2 linked regions of the Daphnia pulex genome follow. The protein of the gene in region 2 interacts with the protein of the main gene of each other region in a biochemical or structural test. Links are inferred from orthologs where the notes say so. Each region holds a gene or a part of one and is shown on either strand. Other genes may lie near its edges. The genes, in order: protein nervous wreck-like and peripheral plasma membrane protein CASK-like.

Evidence for each region.
Region 1: the proteins of peripheral plasma membrane protein CASK-like (region 2) and protein nervous wreck-like form a complex in vitro, tested with the Homo sapiens proteins (2 studies listed by BioGRID and IntAct, with this or other methods). The link is inferred for Daphnia pulex from reciprocal best matches to the Homo sapiens genes CASK and FCHSD2.

The regions. Positions count from the first base shown.
Region 1 is NC_060027.1:7,164-17,907, reverse strand, and holds protein nervous wreck-like, read right to left. Parts: upstream 9,905-10,744; 5' UTR 9,514-9,904; coding exon 9,478-9,513; intron 9,364-9,477; coding exon 9,266-9,363; intron 9,185-9,265; coding exon 9,139-9,184; intron 8,988-9,138; coding exon 8,902-8,987; intron 8,826-8,901; coding exon 8,681-8,825; intron 8,618-8,680; coding exon 8,481-8,617; intron 8,417-8,480; coding exon 8,353-8,416; intron 8,284-8,352; coding exon 8,155-8,283; intron 8,082-8,154; coding exon 7,959-8,081; intron 7,885-7,958; coding exon 7,780-7,884; intron 7,644-7,779; coding exon 7,500-7,643; intron 7,436-7,499; coding exon 7,358-7,435; intron 7,297-7,357; coding exon 7,245-7,296; intron 7,187-7,244; coding exon 7,104-7,186; intron 7,033-7,103; coding exon 6,927-7,032; intron 6,851-6,926; coding exon 6,618-6,850; intron 6,552-6,617; coding exon 5,841-6,551; intron 5,768-5,840; coding exon 5,632-5,767; intron 5,560-5,631; coding exon 5,470-5,559; intron 5,408-5,469; and 5 more. Other genes in the region: carnitine O-palmitoyltransferase 1, liver isoform-like, read right to left, coding at 73-141, 716-741, 811-918, 985-1,591, 1,658-1,779, 1,844-2,120, 2,183-2,319, 2,385-2,447 and 1 more; voltage-gated hydrogen channel 1-like, read right to left, coding at 10,445-10,744. UniProt on the Homo sapiens protein: Adapter protein that plays a role in endocytosis via clathrin-coated pits. Contributes to the internalization of cell surface receptors, such as integrin ITGB1 and transferrin receptor.
Region 2 is NC_060018.1:1,078,283-1,088,961, reverse strand, and holds part of peripheral plasma membrane protein CASK-like, read right to left. Parts: intron 5,799-10,679; coding exon 5,505-5,798; intron 5,192-5,504; coding exon 5,027-5,191; intron 2,920-5,026; coding exon 2,851-2,919; intron 1,999-2,850; coding exon 1,969-1,998; intron 919-1,968; coding exon 820-918; intron 690-819; coding exon 545-689; intron 1-544. UniProt on the Homo sapiens protein: Multidomain scaffolding Mg(2+)-independent protein kinase that catalyzes the phosphotransfer from ATP to proteins such as NRXN1, and plays a role in synaptic transmembrane protein anchoring and ion channel trafficking.

The sequences.
Region 1 (10,744 bases), on a different chromosome or scaffold from region 2:
AATTTTTCGTGTCATTCATTCTTTTTGCTCATTCTCGTCCGAGAAAAAGAGAGAGAGAGAATGGACCCTTACCCAGTTTGCGCCGTTTCAGCGGAGAATAAGCAATACTCCCATAGGTGGCCCATGACGGGCGCGTCCGCCCTGAAATCGCGACGGACGAGAGAGGCAACGGACAGACACAAAAACGCACACACACAAAAAGTGGCCACAGACGGACAAAAAGGGAACACCGATAGTGGCGAAATTAATGAAAAATTTCAATTAAGACAAACACAAAAAAACTAATTGTACCCGGCACCTTTTTTTGCTTGTGGTTTTTTTTTCTTTTAAATTAAAAATAAAAATCGGAGAGAAAAAGAATTAGCGGAAAAAAGGGTATCACAAAGTGCACAGCAAAAATAATTAATATAATAGAAAAAAAGGTGTGCAGAATATAAGAGATAGACACGTCCTAAAAAAGACTTGGTTTTTTTTAATGGTGGAGGGAATGAAACTTTACCGAGGGACCAGTACATCTTCCGCGATCACGAATTCCCACATGTGGGCTAAAACTGCAGCGTCGGCCCTGGTTTGGCAGGGGGTGATTTCATAACATTTTTTTGTTTGATCAAATTATGATTAAAATATGAAATTTTCATTCCCCCCAATTCCCAGAACCACCCCAATATTTGATGCAAGAAATAGACAACCAGTGAATTGAATTTGGATTACTTACCAAGAGTGTTCCGCATTAAATCCAACCTAAAAAACAAACAAATTCAATTTGTAATTAAAACGAAAAATGATTTTCCAAAATGACGAGAAACTCACGCGTCCATTTTTCCCTATGACCAGCGTGAATGACTTGTCAAACCAACGGTCGTAACCCTTGCCGTGGAGCAACGTCGCACCGAATTTGTCCAGTTGGGTGTGATCATCCTGATGCATTAAAATTAAAAAAATTAGACAAAAATATAGAGAAAGTAAAAGAAAAGATTGGCAAACCGGATCAAAGTTGAAATCGTCGTCGTCAAACGACACCATAAAGGCAGCGCCTTCGACGACGGACAAGGAAACTTTGTTCAATCCTTTGGAGAAAAATTCCTGTCGGCACTTGGCCCATGGGATGCGGTCACCGGCAGTCAAGGCCGCCAATTTCTCCTCGCCCGGCTGGATAGCAGACACGTCATCGAGGACCTTCTGCAGCGAAATTTCCAGCTCGCAAGGACGGAGCAAACGGCCCTTGTAGTACAGGGGGACTTTAAAATATTTGCCATGGCAATAGACGGCGATGTGAGTCGAATCGTCCAAGTGGATGATGCGATCCGTTTCGATCCCGGGAGCTCGGGTCGTGTTGAAGACGCGCTCGTACTGAAATGAGCACAGTGGCACCGTTCCCTGGACCATGATGGGTTCCAGCTCTGAGCGTTCGATAGCTCGACGGAAGAGCAAAGCTTCGTAAATGATGTTGGCTGCACGGGCCGCCGGATTTCTGGTCGGATGCTTGAAAAGAGTGTCTATTCCGTAAAAATTAGAGTTGACCATGATGGGAGAACGGCCACGCAAGTAAACGTATTCCTCCCACCAATCGGAAACGTAATTGGTTGACCACCTAAAATCATTCGCATTTGGTTTGATTAAAATATTTTTCAAATTAAGGAACAAACAAATGTTTTACATTCGCTTCAAGTAGAGATAGCGCTGCAGCTTTTGTCCAATACCACGAACAAATTCCAGTGACAACTTTTCCATGCGGGAGTACTGGGCGTCATCCAGCAGCGGCCGGACACTTCTCAAATACTAAATAAGATACAAATAGTCAAGCACTCATCGATATTTGTCAAATTGACAAGTTGATACAAACCTTTTCACGAGTGGAAGACAATGACGGAACGGGAAGAGTGGGTAACATGCCTTGAAACGAGTAGAGCTGCGGTTGGAAGAGGCGGAAGAATGGTTGCATGGCCAAAAACCAGGCTCGAGTAGGTAAACTGACTTGTCTACCGGCACCTCTTTCCTCGTACATCCATCCATGATACTTGAGCAACAAACCCATCAATTGTCTCAGCGAAAAAATGACTCCAGCCCAGCCGGCAAGACCTAGAATGGCTGAACACAGCACCCGATATTCGACAGAATTCCTATTTTTCAATAGAGAAATTAGTACTATTTTAATTAAAAAGTAAATCCATTGGTTAAATACTTGGGGAAGTGGACAATTAGCTTATCAGTTAGTCCACATGTCAAATCATATCCTGACTTTTCTGCACCAATAAAAACAGCCTCAGTCATAACCAGGGAGCGAAGAGAACCTGGGAAAAAGTTGGACTTGAGGTTTGTCTGTAAGGTTTAAAATTGAAAGATTAGTCGGGCACAATTGCTAGGCATTCAGAACATTTCTGAACCTGAAAACGAAGTCCCCTCTTCCTCCATGAGCGAACAGCACTTCTGGCAATAAGCCTAATGACCTGAAGTAGAAAAACCATTTTGACCGTCACAAAACAAAGCATTGCAATTGCATAGATTTTACCTCAAAGTCAAAGTTGACGTCCAAACCTTCATGGGTGATGGCAAACGAGAAGGCAACAGCTTGATGTCCCTCCGCCATCTTTCAGTGAATCTGTTGAAACCAGCAAATGAAACAAGCAATGATTACCAAGTCTGCGATTCAAATCATCCAATGAACTGCATAATCCAAGCACTAGACAAAACGCATAATACCGTGTAACGCGACCAAAGGGTATGAATAAAACCATAAAACGAACGGGAGAAAGTAGAAGAGAAACGTATGTTTACAACTTACTATCGACGTGCTGAAGGCTGTTGAACTTGGCTAATAATAAAACTGAAACAAACCAACTCGTTTCTACTACGGAGATTCAACGAAAGAAGCGATTTACACATGATTAAGCCAAGGCTGGTTTAAATTACCTGATTGAAACGTATGTAGCTCGTTGAGAGTTTAAAAATTACGGCAAATGTGGGGCAGCAGGTAAAACAACTTTGGGTTGTTGTAGCTATCTGGTGCAGGCAGACGATTCGCCGTCTGTGAGGCGAATGAATATTGGGACTCTCTTAAGGCAATGTAACGGGGCTTATGGGGGCTCGTCTTGAACGCAGAAAGCAGGTTGGTTGCCGAAATTAGGTGAAGTCACAGCACTCGGCGTTCGTGTGTTGTATAATAAAAGGTTTTTTTTCTTTCCCGGGTTGAACGTCCGGGAGAATTTCCTCTTCTCGTGGTGAATCAAGGTTGCCAAATCATCAATGGCTATTCAAACATAACACTCAGCTTTTTTTATTCCTTTTGTTAAATAATCAATCCATTCAATTGTTATTTTATGTCCTCAAAATATTTACTATCTGTAATTTTACACGTGACACAATTATTGACAGACTGATAACGGTACGGGTTTTTTTTTATTTACCATCCCAGCATTCTTTAGGAAAATCCCTGAGTTGTGGCGAATGTTTTTCCGGAAAAGAGAAATTGTTTCTATTTTGCATTCTTTTATTTGATCTTTTCAAGGTCTCACATCATATTTTCTTTCATTTTGTGCATAATTGCCTGTTGTTTTTGGCAAAAGCCTCAGGGAAGCTTAAATATAATCCCGTCGTTTCTGGCTTTGAGAATGAAACAAAATATAATCAAAGTTACTTTTGCGCGTGTCCTTCAGGACTTGTGATGACACCAGAAAGGAAATGCGACGTTTAACTAGTTATTTGCAGCCAACTCATTGTCGAGGTCATGGAGTACGACTAGCTGGAAATTTCGCCGATCCTTTAGTAGTTTAATCGAGCGCTAGAGGACTCCCATCCATGCGTGACTGTCGTGATTGTGTAGACTAAAGTTTGTTATCTTTTTTAACTATATATGTTTACTACGGTTTACTAAATGGCTAATCAAACTTAAAATCATTAAAAAATAAATGTTGCGGTGAACAGTGTTATTCCTAACTTTATCTTAATTAATGAACCTAGTTTACAAACGCGCTTCTCTCGCCTCGGGTGGCGTGATGCACCTGAATTTTTCACGCAAAAATCAAATGGATTAGACAAAGTGGGGGGGTGAGACTGTGTGTATTGGGGAATGACCAAGGTAATAAGGAGCTCAGAATTAAGAACAGTAATCTCAAATGTCAAACGACGATATAGCAGCGGATCTTACACACACACACGCAAATGAAATATTGTCACAAAATGAAAAGGAGGAGAGTATTTACGATTACTTTTTAAAAATCTCATTATTATCTGGTTTACAATTTTCCCACAGACACTACAAGTGTTAAGTTATTTTGAAATAAAAACTTGACTTGTTGTAAATCTAAAATATGACAAATGTTTGGAGAATATGGAAATGGACTAGTGAAAATAAATATAATTAATTGGAAATAAGTTACGGTTGGACTAGTTGACTCCTCTTATCTTACAAATGAGTTGACATCAGCATTGAAACACCTGGATAATAAGCAAATAGAAATCTTGTTTTGTTTTTTTTCTTTTTTCGAATTTGTTATTTGTAAAAGGGTTGGAGAATTGCCTATGTAATCGAACAGGAATTTCGCAATCGTTTTTCTTTATCGAACCAATCAAGGGATGACACCTATCAATTTTTTTTTAAACGACATGGAATCGACTGCTGGGACTAATAGAATGAGATCATCATCCAGACTAAGGGCAAATGTTTGACAAATGCCTTGAACATGTAAAAGATATTTTGACAAGCTTCTATGAAAATGAATCAAAGGAGTTGGTTTGTATATAATAATGTCCCGTTGTGCACCTGAAGAAAAAAAAACTTACTATTTTACGTTACAATGGGAACAACCCGCAAATGAAAGCCTCTCTGTGATGTTAATTATTTGCTGGACCTGAATTGGAGTGGAGAATGGAATGGTGAGTGTGTGTGTTTTTCAAAAAGGTTATTGGGGAGGAATGTAAAAAACAATTATTGCTCAATGAGCAGCAGTTGAAATGCATGAGGGCCCATACAGATAATGTGGGTTCTTCTCTAGGCGTAAGATTCCTTGGCAGTTTCCAGTTGGACAAACTCGTCGTCGAATCCTTTTCTGACCACAGTCTCGTCAGCGATTGGTGCTGGCGGCGGCAACGGTTGGTCTAGTGATGATGACGACGTTTCGGTTGTTGATGGCTCCGGTGCTGGTGGCGGAGGCGGTTCCATCTCTTCGCCGAATTCTTGTTCCATTTCGTTTTCCTTGTCGTCGGACGTCTTTTCATCTGTCGGGTTGAAACATTTGAATTCGTTTTCAACCATGGGGGTCGATGCCGTCACGATGATCTGAGTGCCAGACAGTCCGTCAGTTATCTAAAATTAAAAAAAAAAATTATTGATTTAGAATGAAATGGACTTTCAACGTTCTACCAAATGTTACCTGGCCGTTGTTGTTTCCCTCCTCTTCAGTGGGCGTGGCTAAAAAGTAAATGACAAAGAATTGATTAGGGGGAAAATTCGAATCGAATTAAAAGATTTACCTGGCTCGACGTTGATCATTTCTGAAGCAAGATCATCTTCGTCTTCATCCATTTCCTTAATGGTGGCGTTCTGGTCGAACATGTGCTCTACTTGATCATTCAAAAAAAAAATTCAATTAAGATCAGATCAACTACATGAAAATGAGGGACTATTTGTTGTACCATGATCATCAGGGAATTCCGTCTCGGGAGTAGGTTGCGTGATTATGACCCGTTCAGGAGGCAGGAGGAAAGTAGGAACAACTGGAGGGCTGCCCGGCGGAGGCACTGATTCCTCTTCAGGTGTTGCAGGCGACACCTGTGAGTCCAATCCATTACGTTAATAAATATTCTGCCATACTTGTTATCATCGAAATAATCAAATGTTTTACTTTTGGCGTCAATTCTTCGCCGTTGGGACCGCATTCTTCGACAACCAAAGAAGGGAAGACGCCTCGAGTACCGTCCGTTAGGAGCTGACCCTCCCACCATCCATCGTCGACGTCCTGATCGTGTAGAGCACCGGATCGACGGAAAATGGCGATGACTTCACCTTCGTAAAAGGTCAACTCCTCATCAGACGTGGCGTCGTAGTCGTACATGGCCCGGCAGTAGCCGATGATTCGGTTTGTTTGGCCATCAGCGGCAGGAACTGGAGATGATTCCACGACTGGGGCAGCAATGGGTGGAGGAGGTGGAGGTAAAGGAGCGCTTTCGGTCGGCCCAGGGAACTCATCTTCTTCTTCGGCGCTCATTCCTTGCTGCTGGTACGTGTAGTCGACTGAAGAAAAGGAAATTTGGTTCTCCAACGGGTAACCTCCTTCCGCTTCTGCACTAACGATTTCTTCTTCCTCTTCCTCGTGCCCTTCTTCCGGCTCGACTTCCTCCGCAATAGCTGGATGTTGATGGACGTTCTGGTTGGCGTCCTCGTCACCTCCACACGGCACCTGATCGTCGGCGTGCAGGTCCAGGTAATTTTCAGGCACGTAGCCTTCCTCTCCCTTGTAATTCCGGGCTTTGACCCATCCGTCGCCTTCGGAAAAGGCCAGCAACACTTCCAGCTCTTCGTTTTCCATCATGGAAAGCTCGTCCGCATTTTGTGCCTATTTCCCAAACGGAGGAATAAATTGAAAGATCAAAAAGGAACTATAAAAATGATATCAACGTACCGTGTAGGGATAGAACGCGATGCATTTGATGACGCTGGCATCTCCACTGGCATGCACCGAATCCGTGACGCTGCTGGCAGTTTCAATTTGTACAGACGTGGTGGTCGTGTTGGCGGCGGAAGTGTTGAGCTGAGCGGCGTCGTCTCCCCAGGCGTCGGTTGTATCCCAGGCGGCCGTCGGATCTTGCCACGTTGCCTGCATTTCAGCAATTTGCTGCTGTACCACTTGCTCGACTATTTTGAAAATCAAATGCAACTCATTAGTCATTCCAGACTGATCTGACTGGCATATGCATAATAGATTTTTTACCGAAAGCTTCGTCAGCAGCTTCTTCCTCTTCTTCATCCTGCTGAGTTGTTTCAGCACCAGCGCGAGAGCCGCTGTCGGAGAATTCAGATTCCTCGTGAGCCGATTCCTTCATTTCAATATTGAAAATAAACTTTTGATTTGAATGATTCATGAAGGTGTTTCTAAGGCAAAACATACTCGGAAAGAAAGCTGGCTAGAAGATCTCATCAATCCAAGAGTCACCAGACCCTCTGCGTCTTGAAGGAATTCATCTACTTTGACTGCACATGAATCAAATGTTAGTCAGAAATTTGGGAGGTGTGAATTTAAACAATTTACCTCCACCAGCATGAAGGCACTCCAATCGAGCCTCAGCTTTTATTTTGGCAGTCTAAGAAATGTAAACATGTCGAGATGGCTGCACAAAAGCAATATTACTACAAGTCCAATACCTCTGAGCGCCTCAATTGGTTTTTTATTTCATCGATTTTGGCGTCAATATCAGGTCCGTTGGGTTCATTCGGATCACTCTGCAGAACAAAGAAAACAATAGTAACTATACATTCAAACAAAAAGTTTGGGAAAAATAGAAACCTTCAAGCCACTCTCTTTCATGCCCTGTAGAGTTTGCAGTGTCCTCGTCGATTCTCTGATCTTTTTGGATTCTTGGGCGACACGAGATGCATATTGTTTTCCACTCTGAATCAATCCGGCACCAGCTCCGTGAGCTTGATCCACCTGTTTTTAATCAACGAAAAATTTCGAACGAAAAGTTGGTGATTATTCGACTCGTGTGTTTTGTTGACACAGACGCCATCTTTGATTTGAAAAAGCAATTATCGATTTTATTCGTTAGATGGCGAGGCAAACTGACCGTCGTGATGACGTCATTGTCACAAGGCTCAAAGTCGTAAGTGATATGCTGATTGAGAATTGGGAAGGCGTCGACGAAACAGGCCAGGTCGTAGTCGCGATTGATCTATAAAATAAATGGACAGAAAGGAAATAAGATTTCGCTAATTAGATTGGGTTGGTAAAGTAATAACAACGTACGGTTTGGGCTTGCTCTTTAATTTTGCCGAAAGAGAATTGAGAGGCGGAGCAAGTATAAAGTTCCGTCCGACTCATAATGGAAAAGTATTCGGCCACTTTTTCGTACATTCCGCCGTCTAACGTCTGCAAATTGGATTAATCAGACGAAAAATGTCAGTACGCCGTTGATCAAAAGATTGTTTATTAAAGATGGTACCTTGACGACGTTTTGCAAATCAACGTGAAAGTATCGATTCTGATGGGCGTTGGCTGAAGCAAGTTGAAGCAGGTAGGCGTTTCTGGCTTGAGTCGATTTCTCCTCACACAAATCCCTTCGACTCCCCAACTGGCCAATGCAAATATAAAATTGAATTGATCAGGATTTTTAAAAATGAACCAAACATTTGACACCTACTTTGGCCGATGTCTTCTGTAAAGAGGAAACCGACTGGAAGATGCTACCCTTTTTCTTCTTTAGCCTAAAAATAAAAACAATTTGAATTAAAATAATGGATTGAATTGCAGTTCAAATGGTCAGCATACTTTTCCTCAGCTTCACGGGCCTTGTCACGAGCGTCGTGACTGACATGTTCGTCGTCGACGTAAACTTTTTTCAATTTGTCCAATTCAGTCACGCAAGTTTGCACTTCACCTTGCACCACTTTCAATAGGTCCAGATTCTGGGGATTCATTCGTAAAAGTAAAATCTCAGGTGTCTATAATCGAAAATTAGGGGTTTTTACCTTTTTAGCCAGTTGGAGTTTGTTTTGACGGACGATTTTCACGTCGTCTGCGATTTGCGTTTGGAATATTTCGACAGCGGCCAATTTGGCCTTTGCCAATTTATCCGTTTCCTCCAGCAAAGATCTCCATATTGACCAAACCGTCCTGTAGTCAATCAAATACAATCGATTAACAATTTTTGTTTATACATCAATAGAAATATCCCAGGGTGAGTTAATACCATTGCTGGTTGATTTCGTCGTGATTCAGTTCGTGAATGGGCGGCATTTTCTTGTTGAGGTAATTGGCCGATATCTTCTGCATGGCCTGCGGGCATGTCATCAAAGAGTCAAAAAAAGAAGGGGAGAATGTATATAACATCCGTCAATCAATAGCTCGATGTATAATGTATCTATGCTACACGGCCAGTATATTATGTGTAGGGATCGATATTTCCTGTGTGTGTCTATAGGCCTACCTCGCCGTAGGATTTCTCGACGGCGCATCTTTGCTTGATGAAATTTCTAGTCATTTTCACAAGAAAAAGAAAACACACAATTAAACAGATGCACTTTATCGAATGACTTTTAAGTGTACGAACATACCGCAAGTCTTCTAGGAGTTCGCATTCCTGTTGGTGTTTCCATTGTACCTTGGACAACTGCTCCGCATGCAAATTTCTCAATACCTTTGCATAATTGCCCTGCGTATAAAAGGAGAAATTTCCCAGAAGGGGAGGCGCACAGGAAGAGAAGAATTTTTACATCACAATAGGCAGAGGAGAGAGAGAGAAGATCGATTGAAATATTATAAAAACCTTTCGCGGTGGCGGTTGTTGCTGCGTCGTCGACATTCTACACTCGTTTTGAAACACTTGAAACTCTTGGCTTGAATTAAAGTGACATCAATGTTCAGGTAAAAAATGGATTGAATTCACTTTCAACCGGAAATATGGTTTCACCCGTAAGTTCTGTCTGTCCCAGTCGGCCACTCGCCGCCAATTAATTTTTACTTTTTTCGTCGTGCGGGTGCGTTGCTTTTTTTTTTTCGCACTGACCGGGGCCCGTACACTTTTACACTCACGACATGCGAGGAAACATCGGCCGGGAGAGGGAGGCGGGGGAGAGGAAGAAGAAATCGGAAATCGATTCGGCAGTGCGCGCGCGCGCGCTTCGGCATTAAATCGCGTGAACGCCATCTGGTTGGCAAACACACAACTGCGACGATTATTCTGGATGGAAGACTCCGATGGATCCGATCCGGCTAAAAATCCGCTGAAAATAAAAAACACGAAGATTATGAGGTTCAAATTCTTCTCGAAAAATGTGTAATAACAAATAATTGCATAACAACAATACGCAAGGAATTTTAGTGGATGTATAAGCACCATGTCCCAGTTTTTTAGTTCAATGGCTCACTTGATCAAACACATAATAGCGTGATACTTAATCATCATTTGATACAGACGAACACGGCACAACCACACAGACAGACTTTAGCTAATTGCAGCTAAATTGGAATGAACAAACCGCATTGCACTTCTATTTCTAGTCCTAATTATTGGTTGAATTCTTGTTAGCCTGAGGAGTGGCATTGTGAGTTATTTCAAAATTGTCATGATTATACTTATATATGTACGTTTGCCGAACAAAGCGAGTCCCTGAAAAAGAGTGGAACGGAAAACCAACGGAATAGGGGCCAATGATTTGTTTGACATTAGCAGTGAAATGTGAGCAAATTTGTGGTCAATAATTGTCGCTAAATTAGAATTTTTTCTATTCACACTAAGGGGATGGTAGCATTACTAAATTGTCAGGTAGAGGAATGTTGTGATTCTTTAAAAGATTCTCCATTTCGGCAAGCAGTTTCTTCTGACGTTGGCAGAGTTCCCGATATTTGAGCAGTTCATCCTCGAGAACCTCGCGTCGACGTTTCTCGCATTCGACGTGCCGGACAGCCTGACTCCTCACTGAACGGACCATTCCGTTGAGGATGCGAGCCACTCGCCACAGACGTAAAATGATGAACAAGCCCAGGCCGTTGGTCGAAGAGTGAGAGTGTTGCATCAAGACGTCCAACACGAA
Region 2 (10,679 bases):
TTGATCAGTACCCGGCACACAACGTACAGAGTCTAACGGCTCAATACGCCATCTGGCTCGTCTTAACAATAAGAGAGTCATATTGACGAGGAAATCCAAACAATATCGGATGAAGAGTCGGGAGTCTGCATTTGTATTAAAGACACGCAGAAAGGGTCTGAGTCGAGAGAGAGAGAGAGCGAGTGGGAGAGCGAGGAGGTAAAAGCCAATAAAACAAAAGAGGGGGCCAGCTCAGGAAATTGTGTTTGCTGTGTGAGAGCCACTAGTAAGACTTTGCTTCCGGAAGCTGGACGCGTACGACTGCGTCATTGATTCGTTGTAAAAAAAGAACCTCCGCTGAGCCTTAATAGACTTACACAACGAAAGTTGGAGAGCAATACAAGTCCGAGCTGGTGCATTTTTTAAGATGGAAAAGTTTCTTGTCTGGAAGCGTGGGCAACAAGTCTGACAACTAGAGTTAAGTTTCATCCTGCTGTTCACTCGCTTCGTTATTATTCGAAAGGAAAAATCCTAGTCAAATGAATAATTGTTTGCGGGTTTTTACCTTGTTCTCGTTTGCTCTTTTCCACTGTCGAACAGGCGATTCGCCACTCTTGCAACTCGGGAGAAGGGACCAATCCAGCGGGTGCCAACTCTCCGGCACCGTCCTTCCTGGCTTGCCACCATCGGTTGTCGTCCTTGCTAATAATCTGCATTGTTTAAGAAGAGAACAAGTCGAGTCATGAATATCGAATGCCGCAGTCGGGTGAGATAATGAATACAAAGGAAATGCAATTGCTCATGTCTCTTGTGTCACTCAAAAATTGATATTGTACAAACCTGCAGGATGTCACCCGTCTTGAAAGCAATGCCAGCTTGAGCACAGGGGATAGTGTCGTCTCCCAGCGGGTCGTAATCGAATTGGGCTCGGACGTAGATCTGCGATGTTTTCGGAAATCGAGCCGTTGCGGAACAAATAAAGAAAGAACGAGACCCGCATTACAAAAGAATGATGAAAAACCGTCACACCGGCTAGTTTATTGAACATTCCAAAGCTAACAGTAGAAAAGGATAAAAAGAAACTTAGAAATGGCCTTTTTTTAAGAAGTAGATATGCAGCGTCGGGGAGAAAAAAATGAATGAAAATTTGAAATTTTTTAAAAAAGGAGATTGGACCAGTAAAAAATTCTAAAACAAAAAACAAGAGGAATGTATATAAAAAAGAAAGAAAATATATGCATAGTAGATATATATTTTACTTTGAAGGGGAAAAAGCAAAACAACAAATAAGAGGCGGAGAGACGTCAATAATGGCATGCATCAATCAAATTGCTACATCAAACAGAAAAGGTGGGAAAAAAGGGGGAAAAAGTCGGAGGAGAAAAAGAAGGATGCGCGAGAACCAAATCAAGTGGTTTAGTCCATTGACTACATCTTCGCCAGATTCCTTTTCCCACCAGATCCCCCTTCTTTTTCGTTTTTTGTATTTTTTTTTTTTTTTTTGTATTTGAGTACCAAAACAGATCGTGCATCAATTAAAGGAAAGGGAGAAGGAAGTGGAAAGTCGGCTCTGAAGTAATGACTCTTATTCTTTCCTTGTGTGCAAAGTAGTGGAAATGACAAGAGAGAGTGTGTATGTGTTTAATAAACACTGTTTATATAGTAGGGGAGTAGTGACAATAGTATAAATAAGAAACGAATCAACCCAATAACTTTCAACTCCAGAGCGGAGGCAATTTGGCAAAAAGAAAATGAAGAGAAGGGATTTTTTTTTTAAGTTTAAAAATAAAAGTGATGGGCAACACGGAAAAAAGAAATAAAAGGCCTTAACTATTTACTCTCCCGGTCGAAAAAAATAAAATAAAAATAATTACAAGTAAAAAAACAAATAATAATGATAATGAAAAATAATAGCAACCCCGTAGAACTTGACTTGTTAAAAAAAGGAAAAAACAGAAGACTGATCGATTATCATGAGACAGTACTTACAAGAACCGGCTGTGGATTAATCCTGAATAACTGTTGTTTGGGAAGCGGGAAATGGAACGAAATGCGAAAGATAGAGAGAAAGAAAAGACCAAAAGGGACACACAGAAAAGAGACCGGCCAAAAAATGAAACATCAATATATATATTGCCGTTCACTGATACTGTAAATAAAATATTCTTTTTCCAATCTAGACAGATAGGCAATAGAACCAAAGTGTTTCTAGTGTCATTTCTCCGCTTAAATTTTCTTACTTTATCTTTTATTTCCGTTGGATCGACGGGAATAAAAGTGAATAGGAAAATTTCATCATATTTGACGATTCCACGTGGGCATTTCTTTTTTAAAAAGTTCGACTCTGGTCCATTTTCAAGACAATCGAAAGTTGCCCATGCACAAATTGGATATCACAAGAAATATGAACCAGGAGCGGCATAAATTTGTTTTGTCTTTTTCTCTTTCCCTTTCCAAACTAAAAGGCACTATGGTACCACAATAACATACTCAAATATCACATGAAATAGTTTCATTCTCCGTTTCACTCTCTCTTGGCTTTGGAAAATGGCTTTGGAGAAAGAAAGGGCGAATCACAAAAGAGAGAGAGTTCCATAGAGAGACTCTACCTACTCTCATCGACTGTCTCATCTTAAAGAGTGGTCAAAAGGAAGGAAGATTGTGAAAGAATTTTTTTTTTAAGGGTGAAAACTGGACTGCAATAGGAAAAGAGTTGTGAAAAGAGGAGAGGAAAATGTATATCTGTCAGTCAGTCGTCGTTGCGTCGACATGAGGAGAATCGGAGGATAAGGAGTGAACGTGTTTGAGGAAAGGATAGAGATCAGAAGGACGAGCGTAAGTATGGATGAATCGAGATGGATGTTGTCGTACCTCACAAGGCGGCGGGGCGCTCCGGTACGACGGCACAATCTTGAAGGTGACCGATCCGCGGGCTTCTCGCTGCAGGAAACACGCAACATGAGAGAGAGAGAAGGGAATCCTGAAATCAATACTCTCTCTCTTTCTCTCTCCTCTCCCTTCTATTTTGCTCCTCCATCCGACTCGCTCCGGTTTCTTCGTCCCTTTTTTCCCTTCCACTCTTCCGACCAATCCCCACTGTTAAGGTTTACATATACTTTTTTTTTCTTCTTCTTCTTCTTCTTATCCCATAGCTATTCCTTTTTCCTCCCCGGCGTTCGTTCTTCATTCGGCGTCACCGCAATATTCCAAAATTTCCTCCCGCATGGTAGGCTGGGCGTTAACTTCGTCGTTCTCATTTGCTCATCGAAATAGATCCACCCACATCGTTTTCCGCTTTCCGACGAAACACAAAAGCTGAACAAAGTGAAGTTGCCTCACGCAGCCATGCTGTATAACTAACTCGACGGTGGGCAGGGGTGGATGGGCAGGTATATAGTCGGTATCAGGTAGGTGGAAGGGATGCTGATGGAAAACTCTTGCACGCCTCGAAAACTCTTTACTCCGCAATTCTCTGCCATTACATTTTCATTTGTTTTTCCCTGCTAACCAACGGACGACGTCGTCTACTAAACCCGCGGGAATAGAAACAATTTCAAAATAAAATAAAGCCGTGACAACGCGCGCAGAGAAAACAAAAGCAAGGCGGAAGCTAACGCCCATATTTCTTTTTTCTCTTTTTTGTTTTGTTACTTCCTTCATTGTTGGATGAAATAGGAATGGAGGACGCCCTCACCATCGACATCAGGCACCATTGTTGTGCCTCCTCTCGAGGTAAAGCAATCTTATCTTTGGGTGGGCCGAGTATTTTTGATTTGCGAGTCGACAGGAGCGCATTGATCTTGAAGGCTCTTCTAACCTAACCTTTTCGGCGAAACCTCATCTTTGCCTGGCTCGGCTGAAAAGACACTTAACGCGTGCGCTCTCCGTCGACCCCAATCTCTCCCCCGACAGCTGACACTTCCTCGAAACTAAACGGATTCCATTCTTCACCTCCAACTGCTACGTATTGCCTTTAACTGCATTTCCTTTTCCATCAAATTGTATCTAACTCATTTAGAGCCTCATCTATTTCTCCATCCTCAACCGGTAGTCTCCGCCGTATAGATTTACGCAACCGACCACTCCACCACACAAGTGCCCCCTCACCCTCCCCCGACCAAACCCCTTTTTTCTGAATACTCCCTCCGGAGTGGATTTTCGGGCCGCGTGTAGGAGGAGGCCCGTTCACGGCATTCGCCGAAGTGATCGTGAAAGACTCGACTCGTTACTTAGCGCCCGCTATACTGCACGACCCGCTTGCGACTTTTTGGAAACGGGATAGACGGCCGTACGTGACGTCACCGTATCTGTAAGCATCGACCAGAAATGTGGATGCACAGCTGACGCCCAACAACAAACTACTAATAGTATTACACTGTTATGATTACGGCCGTGGTATCGTTCGCCACTGCGACTACTCTCGACGCGTGCTATTATAACGGCCTTAGTATTCCAGGCGAGAAAGCAATTACAACTATCAGCTGCAACTGGACCAACTTTTCTGTCTAAAAACCAAAAAGAGAGAAACCACTCGCCTACACCCGCTGGAAGAAGGAAAAAAATGACCACTCTGCTATGTCGAAAGGCATCCGTACTTGTCTGTCGGCACAGCACAGCTTGTCTAATCCCAACCCGCAGATTAAAATCCCACTACAGACGCACATATACATATAAACAGAGAATAGAGATGCGGCAGTATTGAGTAAATGCTGCAACATATAATTACTCATCCGATTCCCGGCTCAAGCTGATTAGCGATTGTCCGTCTTCGTCTCTCGATTCCCAGTGGGCTCTTCCCTCCCCCCCCCTTCCACCACCACATCCCTCCCTGAAGGAGTCTTTCAAAGATTAACCGGAGCGAGAACGGAAGGAACGTTCATCGACTAGCCATTCAGAGCTCTAAACTTTTCTTTGAAAACAAAATCAAATAAAAATACACTACTATTGCCTCACTTCCCTTTCCCAGCCGTCTAGACCCCCGTTTATCGCATTCCACAATAAGAAAAAAGAAAAATGGTGAAGTATATTGAAAAAAGCGATGAAATACCAGTATTTTCTGAAGAGCGTCGACGCTCTTGTTGGCTACAGGCATGCTGTTTATCTCACGAATCTCGTCGCCAACGTGAAGAGTCGCCTGCCGGTGAATCATGCCTCCGTGCATGATGCGTGCCACAATGCAGCGTCCATCTTCCGTAACCTTCAGCGTAATGCCCTAGAGGAAGAATACCAATACCACTTCAATATGGTGCTTGGGATACAAGATAAAAAAAAAAAAAGACACTCTCTCTCTCTCTCTCTCGTCCATCCATCGATCGGCGTCAATGTTAACAACGATGTAGGAGGCCAAGTGATGACCGCCGTGCACAACAAGAAGGCGGGCGTCCGCAGTTATCGATCGACGGCAAATGTTAAAATAAATATATGTGGCAGGCTACACACACACACTATACTATACTTTACAGAGAGCTATACAGTAATTCGTCGTGTTTGCTGCAGTTTCTTATGGTGTGCCTGACTGTACGTACCATCGGCTCGTCGGTATTCTTCTGGAACTGGACCAAACGGACGCGAGTGACGTGCTCTAAAGGTTGAACATCTCCATTGGCAGCTCCTCCAGTTACACCGCCCAAACTGCTGTCTGGTCTGGTTAGACCGTCCAGTGCGTGGGTGCCGTACAAACCGCCCATCGATGTTGACCCAGCGATGGATGAATGACTAAGGTAAACGGGTGGCAGTAGAGGCGGCGGTGTCACTCTGGCTCCTTCTGAATCGTCCCCATAGAATTCGTAACCAATGACATCGTGAGCTTGCAGCAAAGCCTATTATTACAATTAAAGAAAGAATATTAGAGTCGAAAAAAGAAGAGAAATAAAAGTCGATAAGGACATCTTGGCAACAACAGTGACACGCAGACTTTTCGGACAACTTCCTCCCCAGCCAGACTTGAAAGAGAGGATTGCCGACCCCTTCGTTTGTCAACTTTCATAAAGGCAAAGGATGATGCATTACAAATGGAGACTTACATAAAACACGAGAACGAGAGGCGGACGACGGGCGACGCAAGTTACCCGCCGTGACAAAGCAGAGGAGAAAAAGAAAAGAATAAATGAGGAAAAAAAAAGGATATGGGCAAATTGGCCGGACAAAGAGTCGTCAGAATGCGATTACAGTAAGTTGGGCATTGAGAAGATAGAGTGAGTTTGATTAAAAGCAGAGAAAGAAGAGTAAAGAAGCGGTCTGTCGACCCCACATCCATTGGCAACTTTGCTATTCCAACTTTTACTCCCGCTAGACCTAGATTGCCTGCTGTACCAGGTTTCGCTTTTTCCCCCCTCTCACTCGCGTCGCAACAGTTGTATACAGTCCGCCGAGACTCGACCGTCTCGTCTGCGATATGCGCTCGGCGAGGAAATATCTAGGCTTCCCCGTGTGAATCGAACCAAAGTGAAACAGCGGCGCGGAGGGCAGAGTAGCATTAGTAGTGTTGCTTTGGTGATGGTTACTCACAACCTTGTTCCCGACGTCCTTTAGTTTAGAAATTGTCGTTTCCACAGTGTTGCCCCGGTTGTCGTTATCGAACCGACTAGATCGACTTTTTCGCTTGATCCTTCGTTTCATCGCTACACTTGATTATTCACCGGGATGAGCGTGAGCGCTCTTTTCAGCGAATCGAGTTACTTCCTCGAGCTATTGATTTGTTTGCAACGTTGCGCGTTCATCCTCATTGCTGACAAAATTGTAACGAAATTCAGAGGAGGTCGACCAATTATCAAGATCGAACACGCCCTCTTTCTCTCGAAGAAGAACGGGGGAGGAAAAAAAAGGGGGAGAACAACCAAAGACGACAAGGCGAGGAAGAATAAGAATCACGGCTGGCTGCTTGCGACGTCGACCCAAGCACTGTGTACGCACGAAGGAGCCATCGAGGACGCTGCGATAGGATAGACCGCAATACAAAGCATTGTGTCACAACCCTCAAGTGATCATAATGAAGGGGCATCAACAAAAACCAAGGGAGAAATGAAAATAAAATAAAATAAAAGAACGAAAATCTTTTTGGCGAGCTGTTATCTATCAATTCCATTCCGCATGTAGCCAAGAATAATGACGAATGTAATCTGCTCGAATTAAGCGAGGCATGCGGCGTAATGCTCCACCAAGGACGAATGAAAACCGGCAGAAACGATCAATATTATTACATCACTAAAATGGAAACAAATGTTTTTCCAGCTCGAGTGCGAACGTGTTTCGTCTACACTCGAGGAACTAAAACAACCACCGCGATCCTCGAATCCATTCCATGTCCTTAATCACTTCAGTTTCGACGTTCAAAAAGTGGGCGAAACAAGCAAACAGCTCGGTGATATCAATTTCCTTGGCAACAGCTATTTTTTTTTTCCTTCCTTCGGTTGAAGCGGAGGGACAGTATTCACCAGCGACCCTCAAAAAAGCACTACCAACAACAAGGAATCACTGGTGTGTGCACGGGGACACAATATCAGTGTAGTTGTTACTCTAGCCATCCGCTTTTCAATCGGTGTCTACATCAAAAGTGACTGGCGGTTGGGATGAAAATAAAAAGAATGGGAGACTTTCCATTTTCTGCCTTTCACTCTTGTTCTCGAATAAGTCCTGCGCTTTTGGACGGCGGTATCGATCGCGACGCACAATACCTCACTACTGACTCCATCGTGTTTATCCGTCTAGACATCTATTTGACCATTTATTCTTATGTAAGACACACGTCCGTCCCTTTTTTTTTTTGGAGGGACGTTGAAAAGTAATCTTGGATGTTTCTTTTTTGTCTTTTTGGGTTACAATGTGAATCGCAAGTGACGAAAAGCTACCCCCCACAGTGCTCCTACTTCTCGTTTCTTTCTTCCTCTCAGACTTCCTTTTCATCTTTTGAATTCCTTCCCGTAAATCCTGTTTGGGGTGTGAAGCAAAGGTTTGCCAAGGGACTTGGGATCCTGGTGACCGCCATCCAAGAAATTTCGGTTCAGATATCACGACTCCCTGCGTGACAATTTCACTTTTATGTAAGAGTCAGGCCGCCGTTATTACGTATGGGAAGTGTCGGACCAGCAGGCACAAAAAGACAAGTAGAGAGGTCCGAGAGAGGTCCCCACTTCGAACTGGGCCAATCATCGTGGGCGATGATGGCTGTACACGAACCCACTACTCCACTATAGAAGGCGGAGAAAAGAAGAAGAAAAGGAGCAACAGAAAGAAAGAGAGACAACTCAAAAATTCTGAAAAGACACAGACAAAAGGAGAAAACGCGTTGGTCAGATGATTGGATGCAGGACAACGAGTCAACGACCACATGACTGCCATGGAAGGAGAAACGGAAGGAGAAACGGAAATAGAGGAGGAAATGGAACGTCCAAAAGAGAGTCCTAGAGAAGCAAGAGCCGGAAGGTCGGAGCTTCAAAGGTATACGTATACATAAATATAGATATATATATAGACACACACACATATATATATATGGGGAGGAGAATCAAACGACTCGCTCGTTTGAGAGTTTAATCAACAAAATAGCACCCCCCCCCCCTCTCTACTCGTCAGCAATCTTCTGGGTTTCTAGCCAAGTTGGCAAGTTGATTAGAAAATACAGGCTTTTCTTTTCCTGGAGAAAGCAATTTTACAGCCTTAAAAATGAAAAGAGAGAAAAGAAACGGCAGAAAAAAGGGAAACGAGTCGAAACCTCCCAAAATAAAGAAGAGACGTGGGGGGAAAACATGCTGGCATAAGGAAACAAATCATCTTCAGCCCAGCCAGTTTTTCTTTTCACCCTTCACCCACTGTCGCCGCCGCCTCCTAGATATGAAACATTTGGGGCGTAGTGCCTCAACACACATACACACCCAGCATGTCCACTTTCCGAGCAGAATTCCGCACGCGTCACGGGATTTGCCTCATACTTTTCTTTGCGCTTCCATCCAACCATGTTTTCTTCTTCTTTTACTTCTAGACTGTGTGTGTATACGACACGTTTTTCCAAAGGCAATTACAGTTCCTCTGCCTCCTTTTCACCCGCCTGTCTTTTTTTTTCTTCTCTTTTATACATTGGTGTTGACACGACAACGCCAACGCAATCCTCCTTCAACTAGAAGATTTCGAAACGGTAAGTTGTTGGGGAGGGATTTATGTTTGGATTGGAAGCTTTTTCCATGTTTTACTCTCTCGTAGATTTTAGTCGGCAACTGGCCCAGCAGAGAGGAGAAAGAAAGAAAGATAGGGAAAAAAAACGAAATAAATACATCAAAACTTGTCACACCTAGACAAACACAACTCACTCTCGTGACGAAGATAGGCCGAGACCTTTCCTTTCGGTTTCCTAGCTTCACTTCCTAATGCAGTAAAAGACAGAGCTGCTGCGCCGTCACAACTCGGAAATAAATGTAGAAAAAAACACTGGGATCAGGACGCACATACATAACGCGTAAGGTTGAAGTAGGGATTTTACGCACGTACGGCTCTTTCTCCTACTGAAACGCCTCCTTTCATTTTTCTCCCTTTTCGGTGTATTTCATTTCCCAAAGCCCGGCTGTTAGGCATATTCTCTCTTTCTGTGTGCAACTAAAAGAAAAAGAAAGAGATGCGCATTGCCCAGAGCTTGCTGAAAGCGACAAACGAAGGGTAAACAAGGAGAAATTTTCTAAAACATCTTTTATCTCGTCCAACTCAACTAGAAACAAGGGCATTTTGCACCATATTCTAATAGCGGGCGAGTGCTATCGACTCGCCGAGGTTGTGTACAATAATGGGTCTGTGCCAAAATCCGGGACGGAATTCGTTTTCCAACGAGGCAACTCGCTCGTCTCTCTCTCTTGCTCTTGACAAAGCCCAAAAAGAAAGGAATAAAAAGAAGAAAAAGGCTCTTCACCCACTCACTTCCGCCAATCTACATGCGACATTAATTTGTTCTTTGAAATTCTCTCTCAAGCGGATAACATCCTTTTTCTTTGCATTGATTCTCGCAAATCAACTCTGTATGTGGGGCAATCAACGCTTGATATCAGCGCGCCATTCAAAAATATAACCACGCCCTCGGACAAGTACACCCTCGACGTTTGGGCTTAATGACAGCGGAGCGGAGCCGAAACGACCGACAAGATGAAGCGATGTTGACGAGGATCGACTCTCTTGTTGCCTTATAACTATAAAAGATATGAGAAAGAAAACTCCGTCGAGGTCGTGCCGAGTTGCACATTAAATAAGGAGGAAAGGAACATAACCCCCTCCCCCTCTCCCCTACCCCCCAAAAAAAAGTAAGGAGCAGGAATAAGAAGGCGACGCCAGTAGACTCCGTGATGTAATCGAATCACCCCGGTTTGGGTGTAGGAAGAACGAATTTTCTATATGTATCAAAGAGAGGGAGAACGGGAGCACGTAGGAGCTGGAGAGAGGTTGGATGCAACAAACAAAATGGGCGGATGGATGGGTAGAAATGAAAACACTTTTCACATCTCATCCCGAAACGAGTGAAAGTAAGTGGGAGCAATCATCAAAGGCGCTATGAGAAAATCAAACGTAAGATAAAGTGTGAAGATGGCAAATGTCTCGTGATGGGCTTTTCTTGAATGCGCGCTCAACTTATTTATATTTCGCTTTCTCATTTCTCATTTAGTCGTCCAAACGCACGAGACGGTTTGCTGCGTATCGATCAATAAAGAGAAAAGATGGAGATCGCA